Ovis aries: one gene and its partners. The protein of the gene in region 1 interacts with the protein of each later gene in a biochemical or structural test. Links are inferred from orthologs where the notes say so. Each region holds a gene or a part of one and is shown in the gene's direction. Other genes may lie near its edges.

The links.
Region 2: the proteins of FGFR1 (region 1) and FGF4 form a complex in vitro, tested with the Homo sapiens proteins (2 studies listed by BioGRID and IntAct, with this or other methods). The link is inferred for Ovis aries from reciprocal best matches to the Homo sapiens genes FGFR1 and FGF4.
Region 3: the proteins of FGFR1 (region 1) and anosmin-1 form a complex in vitro, tested with the Homo sapiens proteins (3 studies listed by BioGRID and IntAct, with this or other methods). The link is inferred for Ovis aries from reciprocal best matches to the Homo sapiens genes FGFR1 and ANOS1.
Region 4: the proteins of FGFR1 (region 1) and PLCG1 form a complex in vitro, tested with the Homo sapiens proteins (4 studies listed by BioGRID and IntAct, with this or other methods). The link is inferred for Ovis aries from reciprocal best matches to the Homo sapiens genes FGFR1 and PLCG1.
Region 5: the proteins of FGFR1 (region 1) and NEDD4 form a complex in vitro, tested with the Homo sapiens proteins (2 studies listed by BioGRID and IntAct, with this or other methods). The link is inferred for Ovis aries from reciprocal best matches to the Homo sapiens genes FGFR1 and NEDD4.

The regions. Positions count from the first base shown.
Region 1 is NC_056079.1:32,688,206-32,692,393, reverse strand, and holds the start of FGFR1 (fibroblast growth factor receptor 1), read left to right. Parts: upstream 1-1,388; 5' UTR 1,389-1,585; intron 1,586-1,847; exon of another isoform or gene 1,848-1,888; intron 1,889-4,188. UniProt on the Homo sapiens protein: Tyrosine-protein kinase that acts as a cell-surface receptor for fibroblast growth factors and plays an essential role in the regulation of embryonic development, cell proliferation, differentiation and migration.
Region 2 is NC_056074.1:43,392,260-43,396,123, reverse strand, and holds FGF4 (fibroblast growth factor 4), read left to right. Parts: upstream 1-1,362; coding exon 1,363-1,702; intron 1,703-2,283; coding exon 2,284-2,387; intron 2,388-3,112; coding exon 3,113-3,289; 3' UTR 3,290-3,364; downstream 3,365-3,864. UniProt on the Homo sapiens protein: Plays an important role in the regulation of embryonic development, cell proliferation, and cell differentiation. Required for normal limb and cardiac valve development during embryogenesis.
Region 3 is NC_056080.1:1,335,053-1,339,333, forward strand, and holds the start of anosmin-1, read left to right. Parts: upstream 1-1,481; 5' UTR 1,482-1,577; coding exon 1,578-1,784; intron 1,785-4,281. UniProt on the Homo sapiens protein: Has a dual branch-promoting and guidance activity, which may play an important role in the patterning of mitral and tufted cell collaterals to the olfactory cortex. Chemoattractant for fetal olfactory epithelial cells.
Region 4 is NC_056066.1:69,782,727-69,787,014, forward strand, and holds the start of PLCG1 (1-phosphatidylinositol 4,5-bisphosphate phosphodiesterase gamma-1), read left to right. Parts: upstream 1-1,488; 5' UTR 1,489-1,547; exon of another isoform or gene 1,548-1,900; intron 1,901-2,006; 5' UTR 2,007-2,114; coding exon 2,115-2,331; intron 2,332-4,288. UniProt on the Homo sapiens protein: Mediates the production of the second messenger molecules diacylglycerol (DAG) and inositol 1,4,5-trisphosphate (IP3). Plays an important role in the regulation of intracellular signaling cascades.
Region 5 is NC_056060.1:52,607,912-52,611,858, forward strand, and holds the start of NEDD4 (E3 ubiquitin-protein ligase NEDD4), read left to right. Parts: upstream 1-1,147; 5' UTR 1,148-1,647; coding exon 1,648-3,195; intron 3,196-3,947. UniProt on the Homo sapiens protein: E3 ubiquitin-protein ligase which accepts ubiquitin from an E2 ubiquitin-conjugating enzyme in the form of a thioester and then directly transfers the ubiquitin to targeted substrates. Specifically ubiquitinates 'Lys-63' in target proteins.

The DNA.
Region 1 (4,188 bases):
AACCAACCTAGACAGCAAATAAAAGAGCAGAGACATTACTTTGCCAACAAAGATCCATCTAGTCAAAGCTATGGTTTTTCCAGTAGTCATGTATGGATGTGAGAGTTGGACCATGAAGAAAGCTGAGCACCGAAGAGTTGATGCTTTTGAACTGCGGTGTTGGAGAAGACTCTTGAGAGTCCCTTGGACTGCAAGGAGATCCAACCAGTCTATCCTAAAGGAAATCAGTCCTGAATACTCACTGGAAGGACTGATCCTGAAAATGAAGCTCCCATACTTTGGGCATCTGATGCGAAGAACTGAGTCATTGGAAAAGACTTTGATGCTGGCAAAGATTGAAGGCAGAAGAAGGGGACGACAGAGGATGAGATGGTTGGATGGCATCACCAACTCGATGGACATGAGTTTGAGCAAGCTCGGGGAGTTGATGATGGACAGGGAAGCCTGGCGTGCTACAGTCCATGCGGTGGCAAAAAGTCGGACACGGCTGAGCGACTGAACTGAACTGACCTTTAGGATTGACTGGTTTGATCTCTTCGCTATCCTCTTTTACAGATGTGAAAACTGAGATACAGAGCGAGAACATCGTTTCCCCAGGGCACTCGGTCAGAGTCCAAAGTGCTACCGTGTGCAACCTGAGGGCTTCAGGGTCTCATCTCCATCCCTCCAACTGCTCATCCGTCCACAGCCCGAAATTCGTGCGCCCTCCGGGAGGGGCTCAGTTGGAGGGGCGGGCGCGCGTCAAAGGAGGCCAGACAGACTGAGGCAAAGGAGCAGCAGAGCGCAGGGCGACTCAACCCGCTCCCCCCTTCTCGGGGGCCCTCGGCTCAGAACTACAAGGCCCAGCAGGCAGCGGCAGGGGGAGGAGGAGGAGGTGGGACCAGCGTGGGGTGGGAGTGAGAGAAGGAGCCCTCGCGCCTTGCCGGCGCATAGCGCTCGGAGCGCTCCTGCGGGCACTGGCGCGGCGGCCTCGGCTGTGGCTGCGGCGCGACGCGGGAGCCCGAAGTCTGGTCCAGCCGCAGCGCGCGGAGGAGCCCGGGCTGTGCCCAGAGCTGGGCGGCGACGTCCGGACAGCCCCGAGACTCCGCTTAGCGCATTGCGGCGACCTCGCCTTCCCCGGCCGAGAGCGCGCGCCGCAGCTGGAAGAGCGGCGGAGCCCGAGGACTTTTCTCCGGTCCGAGGGGCGCCCCGCCGGGCGCAGGGGACCAGGGCGGCAGTCGGGCACGCCGCGGCGCCGGGGCCCCCGCCAGGCGATGGAGCTCGGGCTGCCAGAAGCTTGAGGGCCGCCGCCCGGTGCTGGAGAGGGGGGGCCCACAGGGTCTGGAGACCCCGGGCGGCGGACAGGAGCCCTCCCCCCGCCCCGCCTCCGGGGCACCAGCTTCGGCTCCATTGTTCCCGCCCGGGCTGGAGGCGCCGAGCCCCGAGCGCCACCGGCAGTCGAGCGCCGGCCGCGGGGGCTCCTGCGGCCCCGCCAGGACCCGAGCGGAGCCCGGGGGCGGCGGGCCGGAGCCAGGGACGCGGACGCCCGCCCGCCCGCACGAGCCACGGCGGACTCTCCAGAGGCGGAACCGCAGCGCCGAGTGAGGTAAGAGCCGCGGCGCCCCCGGATCCGGGGCGGGCTCCGCGTCCCGGGCGGGCCCCCGGCGCCGGAGCCTCCCGGCCGCGCGCTCTCCCCGCCGCAGCGCAGTCGGGTCCGGCGCCTCCCTCCGCTCGTTACCCGCCCCTCTCCACCCCCGGCTCCCTGCCCAGCTCCCGGCGCCCCCCTTTTGTCTCCCCTCCCTTCCCTCCGCTCGCGTCGCCTTCTGCGCCCCCTCCCCGCGCCCGTCCCGCCGCCCAACTTTTCCGCCAACTCGCGCTGGGGAGCTGGCGAGGCGGCGGCGGCTCCGCGGTGAGTCCGGGGAGGGACAGGGCCCGGGGCCGAGGCGGCGGCGGTCCTGGGTTTCCTGGGCCTGGGGAGGCAGGCGGGGGCGGGCAGCGCGGTGGGGTGTGTGTGTGTGTGTGTGTTGCGTTCCACACCATCTCCTTTTAGTCCACCCATGGGGAGTCTCCGCGATCCAGCAGGTAGCTTTGGGTGGAACGCTAAAAAAAAGAAAAAAGAAAAAACCCGGGGTCCTCCTAAGTCCTTTTCCATCTCCGGGAAAGTCTGGGGTCACTGCCGCAGGCGGGTGGGCGGTTGGGGGCCTGAAAGGGGAAGGAAGTGGAGGGGTCGGTTCGCTTCTCTTCCAGTCGGTTTTAAAGGGGGGTGTCGTCACCAAATGGCTGAAGCTGCTTCAGCGAAGAGCGAGAAAGGAATTCCCTTTTTCGAGAGGCGCTGATCTCCGACTTAGTCCGTCTCTGAAAGGGTCGGAAGTTTGGGGAAGGGGAGGGCGCCCAGCGGGTGAGGTTAAGCCCCATTACGGGGTCTGGGGGAAGGGATTGGTCAGTTCCTATCTGGTTCGAGGAGGTGGGGGAAGGGATGAGGGTTTTGTCCGGTGCGGTTCGCTCGGCACCGGCGCTTGTTGCTTCGCGGGCCCAGAACCCTCTGCCCCCTTCCCGCTCCCCTTTCCCGCTATGTTTGGGGTGAGGAGAAGAGGGGGGCTGGAACCTTCGTTTGCAGAGGAATTTATTGACGTTGTAGATGCGATCATTTAACCCAGATCCTATGGAAGCAGTCAGATGCCTCTGGTTGGGGAGTGGAGGGCTTGGGGAGCGGTGAAACCTGCATCTCTTGTCTGGACCCAGAGGCTTTGGCCCTGTTCAAAGTTTCCGCCGTGTCTCCCCACCACCTCCCCATCACCACTCCCCCCACCCCCGCCCCATTTTCCAGATGTAGCCGCCGCATCTGGTTCCGTTTCACCCCACCCGGGTACACCGCAGCCGCTTGAACGTCCCTGTTCCTCCCTGCCCCCTCCCCCGGATCGAAACAGGGATCCTATAACTTGTCCTCACCACCTCGCTCTTTACGATTTTTTCTTAAGACTTGGGTACGAGGCGCTGGGACTGGGGGAGAGAAGTTACCCTGGATGCCAGGGTACTTAGGCTGTGCTGGCGCTTTCTGGCTCGTGCGGGAAAGGGGCATTGCCGGCGAGAGGAGGTTTAGGGGATGACAATATCTCCTCTGATAAGTGGTGGCCTCTTTGGCCACCGGTCTGACCCAGAGCTGGCCCTGACAGAAGTTTCTGGAACCGGAGCATTGCAGCCTCCTCCCTTTTCAGTTAGAGCCGGAGCGGCGGGAGTGTCTGACCCTGTCCGGAGCCCGCCGCCGGGTCTCGGGCCGCCCGGCGGTGGCGTCACGCGTCCCCTTTTCCACCCTCCCTGGAGCAAGCCCGGGGCGCAGCGGCTTGGGCGTGGGAGGGGGGCCCGGGCTGTGGCTCCCTTGGTGTTTTGAAGGAGTTCTTTCTTTGGGCGGCCGCTCCCGGAGGCTAACGTGGGGCGTTTTACCAAGTCCGCGCCGGCCGCAGGTTTGAAAGGGGTTGGCCTGTTGAGGGTTTTTGGTTCTGCCCTTTGAGGCAGGAAAGGGCTTTCTGGTTCCAAAGTTGCGAGAGGGTGGGGAGAGTTGGTCTCTCACCCTCTCCTCTCCAGCCTCTTTCAAATTGAAAACACTTCTCTGGTTTCCTCCTTTGGGCGGTCGTTCGGAGGCTGTAATGAAATCGCACTTTCTCTAGACATGGTAATTAAGGTGACTGTTTCCTCCGCAGATGGCGCTCTATCCTCTGCACCTCCGGCCCTGCGCTTTTTTTGGAAAACAGTCTAAATTATACAACCTTAGCCTTGAGACTGTGGGGCAGAAAGTGGCCATTCCCCATCCTCCCCCACCCCCCACCCCCGAACTATTGGCCCGGGCTCCCCGTTTCCTCCCTGAGGCTTGTTTAAAGGCTAAGTAGCAGGGCCCCTTGGGACGTGCCTCCGTCTGGTTAATTACACCCCCCCCGCCCCCCCCCGCCCCAAGCCTGGGTCATCAGCCTTCCTTCCAGTGACCCAGGGGAAGCCCTTGGTGGTGTTGGTGGGGAAGACCCAGAGACCTTAGGGAGGATGGCCTGCCTCCCTAATGACTTGTTTACGTATTCTACCCCCTCCCCGCCCCCGCCCCCAAATGGCTGGGAAGACCTCCAGGGCTGCTGCCGTGGACCGCCCCCCCCCCCCCCCCCCCCCCCCCCCCCCCCACCCCGAGGAATGCCAGGTGTTTGGGGACTGGGAAGCTGCCGGGGT
Region 2 (3,864 bases), on another chromosome or scaffold:
GAGGCTGAAACGGCCTCGGGATGACGCATCTGGTCACAGGTCCTGGTGACAGCAGGGGGTAGGGTGGCTCTGGGCCCCCTGCAGTGGCGGCTGGGCGGGGCTGCTGGGAGGTGACTGCAGCCTCTCCAGGTACTACTGAGAACAGGGGTTTTCACACCTGGGTGAGCCAGCATCTTGCTGGACGCCGCCCCATCAGGCCATAATGGGCACAGTGGGGGTGGGGGGTGGGGACAGCAGGTGGGGGAAGGGAGCCTGTCCAAAGCCTGGCCTGGGCCTAGGGATTCTGCCTTTGGCTCCTCAGTATTCCCACTGCAGAATTAAAGGGAAGGGGAGGGGGGGGGGCCAGCGATGTCCTCTCTGGCTCGGACCCCTGTCCTCGTGTGGCAGTGGGTGTGTATGGGGGTGCAGGGCCAGTGGCCTTGGGGTGCACCGACTCGCCCTGTCTTCTCTCAGCACCAGCCATCCAGGCAACCTGCTCAGGGCATGCTTCCTCCTGGTGGCCATAGCTCCATCCCTGACCACCAGCGCTCAGGTGGCCAACCCCTGTCCTTGCCTCCCTCCAGCCTGTAGCGCTGGATTCTTCCTCACTGGTACTGGCCGTTCCAGTGTGTACTGCCCTTACTGGCCCTCATTCCCAGGTGGGTCCCCGGGGGTCCCAGCCGAGCACAGGTTCTGGAAAGCCCCTGAAAGGCAAAGCGCCGGGAGTGTCTTCTCTGAGCTGAGGGTGCTGGGTGAGGGCTGCGGCGGAGAGGGGCACCCATGGAGACCAGACAGACAGGGACAAAGTGCAAGAGGCCAAACTTGGGCGGAAAGACAAGAGCGGAGGAGACGTCAGGGTCGGGACTCCCAGGTCCGGGGGCCGGGCGAAGCCAGGGGCGGGGGCCGGGGACCCTCCCGGTGGCCGCGGCGGCGCTGGGCCCCGGCCGCCTTCCCTCCCCCAGCCCTGATTGGCAGGCGGCCTGCGACCAGCCGCCGCGAGCGCCACAGCGCCCCGGGCGCCCAGGCGAACGCGAACGGCCCCCTGCGGGAGTAGAAGGGGCGGGGGGGGGGGGATTGGCTATCGGCTATATATATAGCGGCTCGGCGGCTGCGGGCCCAGCGCGCAGGGAGGCGCGCACCGCTCCGCAGGGTCCCAGCCTGGGCCGTGCGCCCTGCCACCGCTGCCTGCCTCTCCATGCAGCCCAGGTAGCTCCCGGCGTCCGGGGGCCCCGTCGCTCGCCTCCCGCTTTCCCCGCCCCGGCCGGGCACTACCTGCCCGGCCCAGGCAGTGCGCTCCCGCAAGCCCCCCACCCACAGACGAGCTCGCCCGCCGGCTTCCCGGGCGCACTGACCCACCCGCGGACGCACGGCCCGAGGGCGGGGATGGCGGGGCCCGGGGCGGCCGCGGCGGCGCTGCTCCCGGCGGTGCTGCTGGCCGTGCTGGCGCCCTGGGCTGGCCGAGGGGGCGCCGCCGCGCCCACCTCCCCCAACGGCACTCTGGAGGCCGAGCTGGAGCGCCGCTGGGAGAGCCTGGTGGCGCGGTCGCTGGCGCGCCTGCCGGTGGCCGCGCAGCCCAAGGAGGCTGCCGTCCAGAGCGGCGCCGGCGACTACTTGCTGGGCATCAAGCGCCTGCGGAGGCTGTACTGCAACGTGGGCATCGGCTTCCACCTCCAGGTTCTCCCCGACGGCCGCATCGGCGGCGTGCACGCGGACGCGAGTGACAGTGAGTGGGGCGGGCCGGACGGGGAGGGTCGGGCCCCAGGGCAGCGGCCGCCCCTTCCAGCTCGCACAGGGAGGTCTCGCCGGCACCTGCTCTTGGGCTATGGGAACCGGAGCGGACTTGGGGTCCGGTCCCCTCCGGCGTAGAGACGCCGGGGACGCCAACACTCTTGGCTTTGCGCAACCCGGCGGCGGAGCCCGCCTCCCGCCTTCAGAAGTCCGGAATCTGGGCGCCGGATTCCAGCGCCTTCGCTCGTGGGCACCAGGAGCGCGGCGCAGCCACCGGCAACTCGCGGGGGGCCGGCCCGAGCGCCCACGTCGGGGCCGGACTCGGGGGCTCCAGGAGGCCACCTCGCTCCTGCAGTCCCGGACTGGGCGCGGCCGGCGCGGGGCCGGGACAGGGGCCGAGTCCGCGGGGCTGCGGGGGCCCTTGGGGAGCGGCCTGCACCACGGAGGGAGCAGGGCCATTTAGATCTCCACCCCCAGAAGTGGGGGTCCCGGAGGGGCGCAGGCGGAGGAGGGGGCCAGGTGGGAAGCTCGGGCTGAGGGTCCGGTGCCCGGGAATAACCCGCGCCCTGCCCCCAGGCCTGCTGGAGCTGTCGCCGGTGGAGCGCGGGGTGGTGAGCATTTTCGGGGTGGCCAGCCGGTTCTTCGTGGCCATGAGCAGCCGGGGCAGGCTCTACGGCTCGGTGAGTACCGTGGGCCCCGCCGAGCCGGGCAGCATCGTGACGCTTCCAGGCCACCCGACGCCAGGATCGTGGAGCTGCGGTGGGGGTCGCGGGACTGAAAGTAACCCCCGCCTCCTGAGGCAGTGCCGCTTACCCTTGTTGTTCAGTCATCCAGTCCTATTGGATTTCTTTGGCGATCCCATAGACCCTCGCCTGCCAGGCTCCCCTGTCCGTGGGATTTCCCAGACCAGAATCCTGGAGTGAATAGGTTGCCAGTTTCCTTCTCCAAAGGATCTTCCTGAACCTGGGGGTCCAACCTGCATCTCCTGCATTGATAGGAGGATTCTTTACCACTGAGCCACCTGGGACACCCACCAGCCCAAAGGAGAGGCCCAGCCCCAAGACAGGGACAGTGCTCCCGCCATCCTTGAGCGGTCATTTGCCAGTGGGTCAAGGGTGCCCTTGGGAGCCGTTGCCTGGAGCCCCTGGGGCAGGTCCCAGTGGGCAGGACGGCAGTCTTTAGGCAGACCCAGTGAGGATGCACTGTTCTGGCTTCCAGGTGCCGGGCAGGTGCTAGGGACTGGCGGGGTCCCTCTCCTCACCCTGTGAAAGTCTGGATACCCTGACTTCTCAGGAGGGACCCCCCAGCCAAGGAGGGGCTGGGAGAGAGAGGAGTCCCTGACCACTGCCCCAGAGGTCCCTTGGCCCGCGATGGCCCCCTGACCCGGCTCCTCCTTCCCTCCCAGCCTTTCTTCACCGACGAGTGCAAGTTCAAAGAGATCCTTCTCCCCAACAACTACAACGCCTACGAGTGCTACCGGTACCCCGGCATGTTCATCGCCCTGAGTAAGAACGGGAAGACCAAGAAGGGGAACCGGGTGTCCCCCACCATGAAGGTCACCCACTTCCTACCCAGGCTGTGATCCTTAGCGCCCCCCGGGAGGGGAGTACCTAGGGTCCCCTTGGTGCACTTTCTTCAAATGGACAGTTGAATGCAAGAGAAGGTGTAAGATATTTAAATTAATTATTTAAATGTGTATATATTGCCACCAAATTATTTATGGTTCTGTGGATGTGTTTTGTATTTTTCTGAAAGAACAAAAGCAACTCCCCCCTCCCTGCCCCGAACCAAAGCCTGACTTTTGCTGGTAAAACAGTAGAGACCCTTCCACTGGGTTTATTCCACTTGTTGGAAAGTTGTCACAAGTGGCTGCTGCTGCTCCATGTTTTAAAACCGATGATGTCAGCGTCCGACATCAACCCCCGCTTTTGCACTGTCCCCTTTGGTTTGGGAGTGAGCATCCTTGTGCCTGGAAAGGTTTCCGGGGGCTTTGGAAGCCAGTGAAGGAAGCTCCCAGGCTTGGCTTCCTTCCTCGCATCCTGCAGTGCCCCACTCCCTTTCTCCCTGAAGATATTCCTTGGGACGTATCGGTTTACTTCGGGTGCAGAAAGCGCACTGGCGAGGCCACCGCTGCCGCTCCGTTTTTAGATCTGCCGT
Region 3 (4,281 bases), on another chromosome or scaffold:
TCGAAAGACTTGAGGCAAAGAGAAGTGCGGCGGGCACTGCGCAGAAAGAGAGGCAGTGGAACTTCCCTCAGCAAAGCCGAGGGGTCCCGAGAAGAGGTGAGCCTGCTGTCTGCAACCCAACCCCTCAGCGAGCTAAAAACAACCAGAAGCAACAAGGGCTCCGTGTAAGCAGTTCCGCTTTATTGCCACAAACTCTTGGTTTATATAGGCAAGCAAGGGGGTTTTGTGAGGGACTTTCCATAGCTGCACCAATCACATTAAAGGTCAAATCTTAATATACCATAGTTGCACCAATCACGTTAAAGGTCAAGTCGTCATGTGCTTCATCCTAACAGGACTCTATGGTGATCATGCTCTGTCCAGGTGCACGGAAATCAAGGGAGCCAATAAAAAGTTTTAACAAACAACTTACGCCACGCCCTCATCTCTTCCGCCAGGCGCCATCTTAGCTCTAAACGGCAAAGCCAGCCCCTTTTGAAGGTTTCCCATTTAGGGCCCCACAGAGAAGGATGCAGGAAAGATTGCCAACTTGAATAGGTCCCTCGTGCAGGCCAGGTAAGGCCTTACACCTGCGGAGACGAGGTATGTGTGACCATGTCATCAGTTCAGTAGCTCAGTCATGTCCGACTCTTGGCGTCCACATAGACTGTAGCATGCCAGGCTTCCCTATCCATCACCAACTCCTGGAGCTTGCTCAAACTCACGTGCGTCCAGTCAATGATGCCATCCAACCATCTCCTCTGTCGTCCCCTTCTCCATAAATGTTCCTAGCGACCTGCCTGGATGGATTTCTAGGTGATGCATGCTCGTTAAGAGGGAAGCAAAGGACTAGTGAAAGGTCTCAATGGACGCAGTTGAAGGAGAGAGGGAAGAAAGAAAAGGAAGCAGGAAGGAAGAGGGCAAAGGTTGAGGAAAGGAGGAACGGGGGAAGGGGAGGAGGGATCTACGGGGAGAAGGGGCGTCAAACGTCCCTGCCTGTCTCCTCTTATTGCGCCCAGCGCAGTCCCGTCCATTCGCTCCTTTCCGCTCTTCAGAAAAGGGAAAACCCAAATACTCCAAAGCATATGAGTAGGACCTGGGACCACTGGAGTCGAAGCCGGGATGGAAGCCCATAAGTTCGGGGGGGCGCTTCCCTCTATCCTTAGCCTGTTCTCACGTCCAGGTGGGGGTCCCAGGCCTGATGACCAGGCCAGCACTTGACACCCAGGCCCGCGGCCTGCTGTTGACTCCCGATGGGCAGGAGGGAACGCAGGCAGAGCGCGGGGAAGCGGACCCCCAGGAGAGGGCCGCACCAGAGGCGCTTGGCAGGCGGGCGCGCGTCTGGCTCCCTTGGACCTGCCCACGGCCCTCCGTCCGCCCCGCCCACCCCCGTCACTCACTTTCCTCGCAGCCAATGGCGCGGCTGCCTGTCACCCTCGCCCCGCCCCCGGAGGCGGGGCCGGGGGAGGGCGCGGGGCGGGAGTGGCCTGATTGAACTTTGCCAGCGGAGTTGCGGCGGCCGCGCGGTCCCGGGCGGCGGTGCGGAGCTGGGAGCCTCGGCCAGCGCCCGGCGCCCGCGCGCCCTCCGACCCGCAGCCATGGCTGCCGGGGCGCCCGGCGCGGCCCTGACCCTCTGCTTCTGGCTGGCGGCCTCCGGGGGCTGCCTGGCTGCCGGCTCCGGCGCGGCCGCTGCCCGGCGCTTGGATGAGTCGCTGGCGGCAGGGAGCGTACAGCGCGCCCGCTGCGCCTCCAGGTGCCTCAGCCTGCAGATCACGCGCATCTCCGCCTTCTTCCAGCACTTCCAGGTACGCACCACCGCGCGCCCGGGCCCTCCCCTGGCGCTGCGGGGCGCGCGCCTTCCAGCCTCGCCGCTCAGACTTCTCGCTCAGCGGCAGCCGGCCGGGGTCCGGCTTTACGCGCGGGGTGGATTGTACCTCGGGGGAGGGGGGCCCGTGGGCGATCCCCCTTTTGCAGCCCCTCGCCGGCTCCCGACGTAACTCCCTTCTTCCCCGGGGAAAACCAAAAGGGGGTTTCCTGTGGGAAGGGAGAGCGGTTTTGTGGCTTCCAAGGATGGAGTGGGGTGGGCTGTGGGCTTGTGAATTGCCCCGGGACCTCCGCCGCGGGGCTGCGGGCCGCTGGCCAGTCTCCCCTCAAAGTCCCCCGGCGCTCCCGGCCCTCCGCACCGCGGGCAGAGCGAGGGAGGCCCGCGCTCCGCTGCGCCCGAGGACCCTGCGCGACCAGCCCTGGCGCCGCAGGTGCCCGCCGGCCGAGACTTTTTTGTCTCTCTTGAGCTTTGCTTTCGCACTCGGCGGGCCGAGAGCGCGGAGTCCACCCTTGGAGCCCCAGCCAAGGGTCGTATCTTTCAGCGAGTTTGTGTTGGGGGTGGGGTGGGGTGGGGAGCTGGTTACTGCCGGTGACTGTGCCGCCCCAGTTCGGAGCCCCAGAGCGTCTAGGTGTCGCCAGCGAGTGGCGGGGGGACCAAGGGGAGAGATGGCAACGGATAAGGGACTTGGAGACGTCAAGTTCGGATGTTCCGAGAGGACTCCCGGAGCCAGTATCTCTTCCAACCGTCGTAGATTCTGCCGGCTTCGGGGTAGAGGGGCTCGTGTGCGTGTGTAGAGGGTTCAGGGGACAGGACGCTTGACATCAGTAGATGGCTGGGATGCTGAGAGGAGCCACAGCGGGGAGTGACTCAGGGACCCTGGGTGCCGATGGGCGCGCGGGAACCGCTCCCGAGCCGGCTCCAGGCTCGCCTCGCAGCCGCGGTCCCCAGCTGATCCGAGCGCGCGCACTCTGCAACCATTCACGCGTATAACCTAATTCCTCTCGTGTGCTCGCTTCTCGGCCTCGCCGTCTCCTCTCTAGCCTTGCAGTAGTTCACCTGTTACAAGATCCCAACTTCTGGCAGCAGGGAAAACTGCGGCTCCCAGAAAGGGGCCGCGCGGCTCCTCGGTGGGTTTCTAAGCCGAGTCCCTCTGAAATAAACGAGGCGCCTCTCGCGCTTGCGCGGCGTCAAAGGGGCCTGCCAAGGGTCCCCGGGCACTAAGCTGCGATGGGGGCCATTGCCGTGACCGTGGAGTTTGGGACGAATCTCCGAAGCCTTTAAGTCCCGTTCATTCTGGGGGGAGAGAGCTAATGAAACCTTGCCCGGAATGGCCCATGAAGAGCTAAAAGTTGGGATGTACAGAGAGTGAACCCGCTGGCCAAGTCTCCACGCGCCCGAGTGCGCGCGGTTCTGCGTGTTCGCAGAGAAGGGGCATCCGTAGGTTTCAGAGAACTCCGCCATCCCCCTTGGTCTTCGGGGAAGGGACCGGGGGGTGTGGTCTCCTGCGCTGAAATTCCGCGGACACCCTGGAGAGGGTCCCTCCCAGCCACCCGGATTCTTGCCCCCCTGCCCTACCCTGCGGTCGCTCTTCCGAGGCAATGCTACCCTATTGTTCAAACAACGACATAAAACAGCATCCTGTTCCCAGGGAGAAAGACTATCTTTTCTTTTTCTTCTTCCCTTCCTTCCTTCTTTAAATTGAACTGTCAGTCGCTGTAATTTATTTGTTTTACAGTTTCAGCGCCTAAAGAAACAGTGCAGATCAAGCCAATTCCCGTGAAAGGGTTTTCTTGTGGTCTCTTGGCATGATTTCTCTTCGGAAGAAAAAACTGCTGACAGAATACACATTGCCAGACAATCCTGATTACATTTTAATTAGCTGGGGTGGGGGGTGAACCAAGCTGCAAATTACTCAGTTAGGACTTAATAACTGCTGTTTCTGCAATCAATTGCAAAGCCATTCTTGGAGGTTTAACCCTAACCTGGTAATGCCTATCTGATTTATCTAAATTGCAGGGATTAAGCTTTCTTAAGATTTGAAAAGACAGAGGCGCACGCTCCTTATGAAACCTCAAGCTTCCACGTCCCTCCCCTCTTTAAATAATTGGAAGGATGCTGAGGTATCAGGCAGAAAGTGAACAGGAACTAAAAAGCCTCTTGATGAAAGTGAAAGTGGAGAGTGAAAAGTTGGCTCAACATTCAGAAAACGAAGATCATGGCATCTGGTCCCATCACTTCATGGGAAATAGATGGGAAACAGTGGAAACAGTGTCAGACTTTATTTTTGGGGGCTCCCAAATCACTGCAGATGGTGATTGCAGCCTTGAAATTAAAAGATGCTTACTCCTTGGAAGAAAAGTTATGACCAACCTAGATAGCGTATTGAAAAGCAGAGACATTACTTTGCCGACTAAGGTCCGTCTAGTCAAGGCTATGGTTTTTCCTGTGGTCATGTACGGATGTGAGAGTTGGACTGT
Region 4 (4,288 bases), on another chromosome or scaffold:
CTCCTTGGATCTTTCTCTAGCATCAGCTGGGTGCCCTGCTGGGCCTCTTACCTGTAAAATGCAGTATGCTGTCCTGCTTTGTCTGGCTCAACATCCGTCAGACAGGCTCTACTGTGACTGAAGGTGTCTTTAGCTTGGGCGGTGTTCTGTGACAGGGCAATTAGACGGCCCGGGGTGCGTCTAGGGAGTGGCTGTAGCAACACAAAGAGTACAGATTAATCGAATAATCACCAAAAGAACTTGTGCCTGGAGAATGGAATGAAAGGGAGGTGGTGAGAGATGAAGTGGGATAGAAAGGGGCCAGACCATGCTGGACCTGCTGGGCCAGGTAGGGGATTTTGTGTGCCATGGCAAGTTCTGGATGATTTGAGCCTGGAGGTAGGGAGTCAGGATTTAATTTCATTTTGAAGACCAGAGCATAGGGCCTTCCCTAGTGGTCCAATGGCTAAGACTGCACTCCCAACAAAGGGGGCCTGGGTTCGATCCCTGGTCAGGGAACTAGATCCCACAGCCCCCAACTAAAAGATCCTGCATGCTGCAACTAGGACCCGGTACAGCCAAATTTAAAAAGAAACAAACAAACTAGAGCATAGGGAATACATGCAGGCAAAACCAAGGAGGGTAAATAGTCTGGATGAGAGAAGATGGGCCTTGAGGTTGTGGGCAGAGCGGAGACATGGGACGGCAGACGGAATGGGACTTGACGGAGTGCTGTGGGGTTGAGGGAGAGAGAGAGAGGAACCAAGGCTGTCTCCATCGGTTTTAGCCCGAGCACCTTACCAGAGGCATGTTCTGAGAAACTGAAGACCATGGGAGAAGCAATTTGAAGAGAGATGTGAGATGTCTGTGCTACGTGGGGTTGTGGAACAGGTAACGGGATGCAGGGAGGGATAGAGCTTCGGCGCTCGGGTGCCTGAATTTGGCAGGGGGCGGGGGGCAGTGACGCTGAGAGGTCAGGCCGCCTTGGGAACTGACTCAGGACCCACCCCTGAGCAAGAGAAGTTGCTGAGGTGTCGAAAGGCAGCGGCCAGAGACCGAGGAGGAAAACAGGGATAGAGTCGGCCCGGGAAAACCAAAGCTCGGGAGAGCATTTGCAGGAATGGTGCGGAGCCGTAGGGCCTGAGTCCCCATCCTAGTCGCGTGGATACTCGCGGCGTGGGGGTGCGAAGTGTATGGCCAGGCCAAGACCACTGGAGGGCTCGCAGGGGATGCTCAGGCCTGTGGGCTACTCCGAATAACGGGACTCCCCACACACACCCGCGAGGCCACTTCGGCCGCAGGGCCAGGAAGATCGTGGGTCCGACGGTCGGAGGCGCTGCCGGCGGGGCCGCCCCCGGCTGCCCGGGGAAGGGAGGGGGGAGAGGCGGGACACTCAGACTGTCCGTCAGAGCCTGCCGACCAATCACCGGGTGGCCCCGCCCCCGCCCCGCCCTGGAGAGGACGCGCGGAGGACTCGCCTCCTCCTCCGCCGCCGCCGCCGCCGCCGCCGCCGCCGGTCTAAGGCGGCCCGGCCTGGCCTGGTTCCCTCAGCCGGGCAGCCCTCCCAGGTACCGGGTTTGACCGGCGGGCCCCGGGAGGCGCCCCGGGCCTGCACTTCTTTTCCCGGTGGCCGCGCGGGCGTCGCCCCGCTAGCGGGCTTCGGAAGGAGCCGCCGCGGCCGGGCCTGTGCGGGACGGTGGGCTGGGCAGCCGCCTGTGCGCGCGCGACAGACGGCCGGGCCGGCGCGAGGCTGCCGCGCGTGACGGGACCGGCCGTGGCAGCCGGGCTGTGTCCGGGGCGGCGCGAAGAGACCCCGCGGGGCCGTGGGCCCGGCTGGCGGACTGCGGGAGGCGCGCGCGCGCGTGCCCTGACGCGGGGCCTGCCCGGGGGGTCTCGGGGCGCAGGCGCGGCGGGCGGGGGTCCTCCCCACGGGCGCGCGGGCGCCTTTGTTCCCGGCGCGCGGGCCGGGGCGGGGCCTGCAGGACCGCCCCGCCCCCGCTCAGGCCCCGCCCCGTCTCCGCCCGCAGGAGCCGCCGCCGCCGGGGTCCGCTCGCCCGCCGCCTGCGCCGCCGCCGCCGCCGCCAGCTCGCTCCCGCCGGGCCTGCGCCGCCGCCGCCGCCCCCGGCACCCGAGCCATGGCGGGCGCCGCGTCCCCCTGCGCCAATGGCTGCGGGCCCGGCGCGCCCTCGGACGCCGAGGTGGTGCACCTCTGCCGCAGCCTCGAGGTGGGCACCGTCATGACTTTGTTCTACTCCAAGAAGTCGCAGCGGCCCGAGCGGAAGACCTTCCAGGTCAAGCTGGAGACGCGGCAGATCACGTGGAGCCGAGGCGCCGACAAGATCGAGGGGGCCAGTAAGTGCGCTCCCCCTCGCTGCACACCCCCGGCTCCCCGGGCCTGCTGCGCGGGCGCGCGCGCTCGGGCGGCGCGGGGTCTGCGCCCCGGCTTGCGCGCGCCCGGGGGCCGCCGCTGGAGAGACTCCGGCGAACTTTCGGGCCCCGCCCCCGCCTCGGCCAGGGTGGTCACCGGGGGCGGGGGGCATCCGGGTCCTCAGTCACCTGACAGGACACCCCCTCCCCCAGCAAGGGGGGGAGTGTTCCAGGCGCTTTGCCCAGAGGCCTAAAAATCCTAGCGAGTTGGAGACCAGCGGGGCCGGCGTCGGGTCCCCCGACACCCCGGGAGCGGTGTCGGCCGAGGCAGTGTCCTCTCCCCGGCAGCCGCGGAACCGGAGGCCAGACCAGATGCACCGTTTTTCCAAAAAGAGCAATCTGGTGCACCTCTGGGCCTCACGGCCGGGCTCCTACTTACAAAGGAACCTTTGGGTTCCCCAAGTAGAACTTAGGCAGCTGTTGGCGTAGGGCTGGTTTTGGAGCAGAGCCGGGCCTACTCATCTCTCTCTTGGGGCCAGGGAGGAAGGTGGTCTTGTTTGGTTTGGAAAAGCCCGAGAGGAGGCAGTGGATGTTTTTCCCGCCGCTTCTTTTGTCCTGAAACTGAATTTTGGAGGTCTGTGTGCGTGGGCAGACTCCCAAAGCCAGGGCAGGGAAAGAGGCCAGCCTTCCCCTTGTCCTTTGGAAGCACATTCTCCAGAGCTTGGCCCCAGAAAGCCCAGCCTCGCTGCTTCGTGTCAGGTACTCTTCAAGAGGACGCAGCCAAATTGGGGTCCAGCTCTTTGTGTCCTGCGTCCTGTGGCTGGAGGGAGCCAGGAGCGGCTACTATTTCCTGCCTCTTTGCTGTCCCAGACCTGACCTTGGCTGCTTCTGGGAAAGAGTGTGTTGGGGGATTTTGAAAAACCCCAGATCCTTCAGAGAGTGATTCCACTGAGTGCGTGCCTGTGCTGTGGCCGGATGGGCCCCCCAGCTCTGCCCTCCATTCGCCCACCTCCAAGTGTGAGATGATGTGTCTGCAACCCCAGGCTGTGGGTTGCTTCCTGCAAGAACCCCCTCTACCCCCACCCCCACCCCGAGACTGGAGTTAGAGCCAGGCTCAGAATTAGGACTGTGTAGAGGAAGAGGGTTCAGGAAGTGACACCCCCCAAGAGAAGGTCTTCCAGACCTTGGGTATGGCGTGTAGATGACTGAGGAGACGGGGAGGAAGGAAGGTCTTGTGGTGAGACAGCCATCCTCAGCCACACACTCCAGATCTCACACAGCTGCTGAACTTCCACACGACAGCCACCTTCCTCCGTGACCCCTCCTCGGGCCCTGGCAGCCTGCAGGAGAAAATGTTAGAGAATTTGAGAGGCTGGATTCCAGAGTGGAGGAAGGACATATCCTGCAGAGGACTGGAGGGACATCACCCTGGCGTCAGACTCCAGGCATGGCCCTTCCATGTGTCTGTGGATTCCCCGGGCTCTCCTGAATTGGTAGCAGCTGGCTGAGGTTCCCAGGTAGACTTCTCCTGGCTGAGAGGCTGTGTTTCACACCGTGCATGGGACCAGCAGGCAGTTGAAGTGCAGCCCAGCGGTTGAAGGCAAGGTTGGGTTTGAAGCCCGTATGTATTAGTTGTGTATCGCCCCCAGCCAGCTAGTTCTCTGAGCCTTAGTGTCACCATCTGTAAAGTGGGAGTAATAATATCTCCACCAAATGGGGTTATTCTAGGGGGATAAAGGAGAGGATTAATGTAAGACAATATACGTGGGCTTCAAATCCAACCTTGCCTTCAACTCCTGTGCTGCTGGATACGTTCTAAATGTTTAATAAATGTAAGCTGTTATTCATGACAACGGTGATAGACTATGACTGTCACTCTTAGACTGGGACTGTGTGGCTGCACAAAAGGGTGAGGGAGCAGGAAGGGAGGAGCACAGGGACC
Region 5 (3,947 bases), on another chromosome or scaffold:
ATGAATGAGCCAGTATATATTTATTACTGGAGTTCCAGCTGTAAAATTCAGGTAAGAAGTTTAAATATACCCTAGAGTATTATTTTAAAATAAATGTGTTTCTTTCAAATAGAATACCAACCTTGGTCTATGACATTTAGGGGAGAAATTAAAATATTAAACTTTTATTACCTAGTAAACTGAAAATAAAGTAAAGGTTAAATAAATACAAAGCAGAAAAAAATGTATATATATACAAAATCACAACGTCTAAAAGGACAAACAGTTTACTGTTCTCTCCTGCGGGAGCTTTATCAGCAGTAGTAAGTAATTCCATCTTTAGGTCAGTGCTAGTACTCAAAAATGTAAACAAGTATGTACTTTGTCTATATAAAGAAATATGCCATACGGTTTATACTTCTTTATAGATATCAAACAACTAAATGAATTGTTTCAATGCACCAGTAGGGGCCAGCAAAGAGCTCTTAGAGTTTTTCAGAATAGAGTTGGCATTGAGATATGTTTATTTGATGTGTTAAATCCTTTTTAGACTTCTTTACTTACCACAACACTCTCTTAAGTGAATGAATTGCATAGACAGTGGAATAAAATATCTTGTGTGCTCAAACTATATTAGGGTATAGTTTTTCTGTCTAATCTGCATATATTTTTAATGGAATGTTTGCTTAGGCTATTTCTTGGCAGAGTTTTAATAGTCAAAATATAAATGGAATCATTTAAAGACTGTACTGCTTGGCTGGAAAGGCCTTAAAATTACAGGAGAAAATGCTTGGTGACAGCTTCTCACAAACGTTTTTTTTCTCAGACCTATGCTCAATTTTTGCAATGGTATTACTAGGCAAATTTTGTATTTCGATCCTTCAGCTTTCACTTTTTATAAGTACGTAGTGTTTTGGAAACTAAAATATTTATGTTTGGTTTAATGCTAAACTTTCAATTCACCCCCGCAGTTTTGGTGTTTCCAAATATATACAAACATTTGAACTTTCTCCTTTTAAAAATATTAACAGTCTATATTCCTTTCTACATTTACTAAGTTGACTGGATTCCTAGTATGGCCACTATTTGGAAATGCAATCCTTGATTTGATACTCAATTACATGGAGTTTCGTTCCTACCAACTTCCTGTAATTCTATCCCTATGGGTAAAAATATTAGTGGTCAAACTCTGCTGGAGAAAGTATAGGCACCGTGATTCACAGAGTTAAATGTTCATTTAGTAGAGCTGGAGTGAAAAAAATACTGTTTCAACTTGAAATGCTAGAAGATTGTTGTTCTTGTGTTACTCATTCATGCAAATTGGAGAAGGTATAATTGAAACAAGGTTGGCAGTGTTTGAGGCAGTGTGCTGCAGCTGAGCTCAGCTTAAAGGTCGCTGGAAATCAAGTGCTTTGTAAGTGAAGGCATTTTGACTACAAGCGATTCAAGACATTTTGGAAACGTCAGTCTCAGGAATGGGCCGTCTTTTTCTTTCATATGCTATCTGGTCTTTAAGATTTTGCTTAGGATAAAGACTACTACTTCTGAGCTCTTTCAGGCACACAAATGATTTTTTCTTTTGCTGCAGTGCAGCTGCTTCTAGCCTGTCTACCGACAGAGATCTTTGTTATGACTCTCAGCCCTTAACATGTTTGGAAATGAGAACAAATGGCACAAAGCTTACGATTGCACTTTGCAGCCAGAAGAAGCAATACTTATCCTTTGTCAGAAACCTCCGGAGATGATTTGGATAGCAGCATTCACATGTGCTTCACGAGACCAGCACGGATTTCAACGGCGAACGTGGTTCAAATGAAGCTGACTCCCAAACAGACTGCATTAGCTCCGTTAATAAAGGAAAACCTTAAGTCTCGGGAAAGATCATCTTTTCCTTCACCTGAAAATGTTCATAAAAAGAGCAGCTGTCTGCAGATATCATTACAACCAACAAGGTACAGTGGATGTCTTCAGTCTGGCAATGTCTTAGCTGATGGTGATGATGCTTCATTTACTTGTGTCTTAAAGGATGGCAGTGCTGTGGTTGATAACGAACTGAATGCCACGGATGATGGTAACCTCTTAAGCAGTCCTGCCATTTGCAGTGGTAGTCTTGGTAACTTTTCAGCCAGTGAAAATGGGTCTTACAGCAGCAATGGTAGTGATTATGGGTCCTGCACAAGTATCACCAGTGGAGGTTCATACACCAACAGTAGCATCAGTGACAGCAGTGGTTATACTTTTCCACCAACTGATGATACCTTTTTTGGTGGAAATTTATCTTCTGACAGCGCCTCCAATAGAAGTGTGCCAAACAGGAATACTGCTCCATGTGAAATTTTCTCAAGTACAAGTACAGTTCCCTTTGTCCAGGATGACTTGGATCATGGACTAGAGATTATGAAATTGCCAGTGAGCAGGAACTCGAAAATTCCACTAAAACGTTGTTCATCCTTAGTCATTTTTCCTAGGAGTCCTTCAAATACACCACCAACTTCTCCAACAAGTACAGGTACTCTTCCAAGCAAAGGATCCTATCAGACCTCACACCAGTTTATTATTTCTCCTAGTGAAATTGCCCACAGTGAAGATGGCACTAGTGCTAAGGGATTTCTTTCAACAGCTGTCAATGGACTTCGGTTATCCAAGACAGTCTGTACTCCCGGAGAAGTAAGAGACATACGACCTCTTCACAGGAAGGGCTCATTACAAAAGAAAATCATTATTGCAAATACTAGTCCAAATCAGACTGTCTGTGAACAGCCATCTGAAGGATATTCTTGTGTTTCACTGCATTTTACCCAACAGAAAGCAACTGCATTAGATTGTGAAGCAGCAAATGGTGATTGTAAACCAGAGATGTCAGAAACTGAGCTTAATTCTGATCCAGAGTTTATTAAGCTTATGCATAGGACATCTGCATGTTTACCATCCTCCCAAAATGTAGATTATCAAATAAATATCAGTGGACAGTTGGAAAGACCAAATTTACAGATAAACAAAAACCATGCTCTTTTACAGAGAAGTATTTCATTGGGGGGAACTTATCCAAATGTTTCCTGTTTATCTAGCCTTAAGCACAATTGTTCTAAGGGGGGACCATCTCAATTACTCATAAAGTTTGCATCTGGAAATGAAGGTAAAGTTGATAATTTAACCAGAGACAGCAACAGAGATTTCACAAATGAACTACCTAATTCTTTAAAGCATTCTTATAAGGTAAGTTTCCTTTGGTTTTGGAAAATGTTAGTTTATACTAGAATAGCTCTGTGAAATATTTGGTAAAATTTATTATAACTTGGCTGCTTTATATATTTTCTTGGTCCTTAGCTAGCAAGTACTTTGTAGTCATGAATTTGATATTTGTGAATCTGAAAAGTGCCTAATAGTTTTTTACTCTATTTATTATTTTATCAGCATACAAGATATGCATTAAAAAAAAACCTTTCCAAAGTGATTTAAGCCATAAAACATTCTGTAGCATAAGAACAGGCTTTAAATAATAATTTTTTAATAATATTTTGCCTTAGTATATTTTCCCTTAGTATATTTTCCCCTTGAGTGGCATGGTGTTTTAAAGTCTAACTCCGTATTTCATTCTTATTTTCAAAAATGCTCATTTAGTATTTATTTTAAAGCATTATAAATGCTTTAAGCATTAAGCATTTTGAAAAAAAAGCCCTTTTAAGCCCTCTTTAAGCATTATGAAAAAAAGTAAAATATAGAAAGCCACTTAAAGTATTAAACAGTAAAAAGTCTACTTAAATGTGAAACTTTTCTTATAGGTGAACATAGAGAAAATATTTCTTTGAAATACATATATTTATTTGATCATTGATAAAAACTATTATACTGAATGTTTAAAGCAGAGGAAAAATAAATGGTATTTGCATTTGTATATACCCTTAACCACAGGAATTTTGTTCCACCCTGTTTTTCTTTAGCTACCAGTTAAGGGTGCCTTCTAAAAT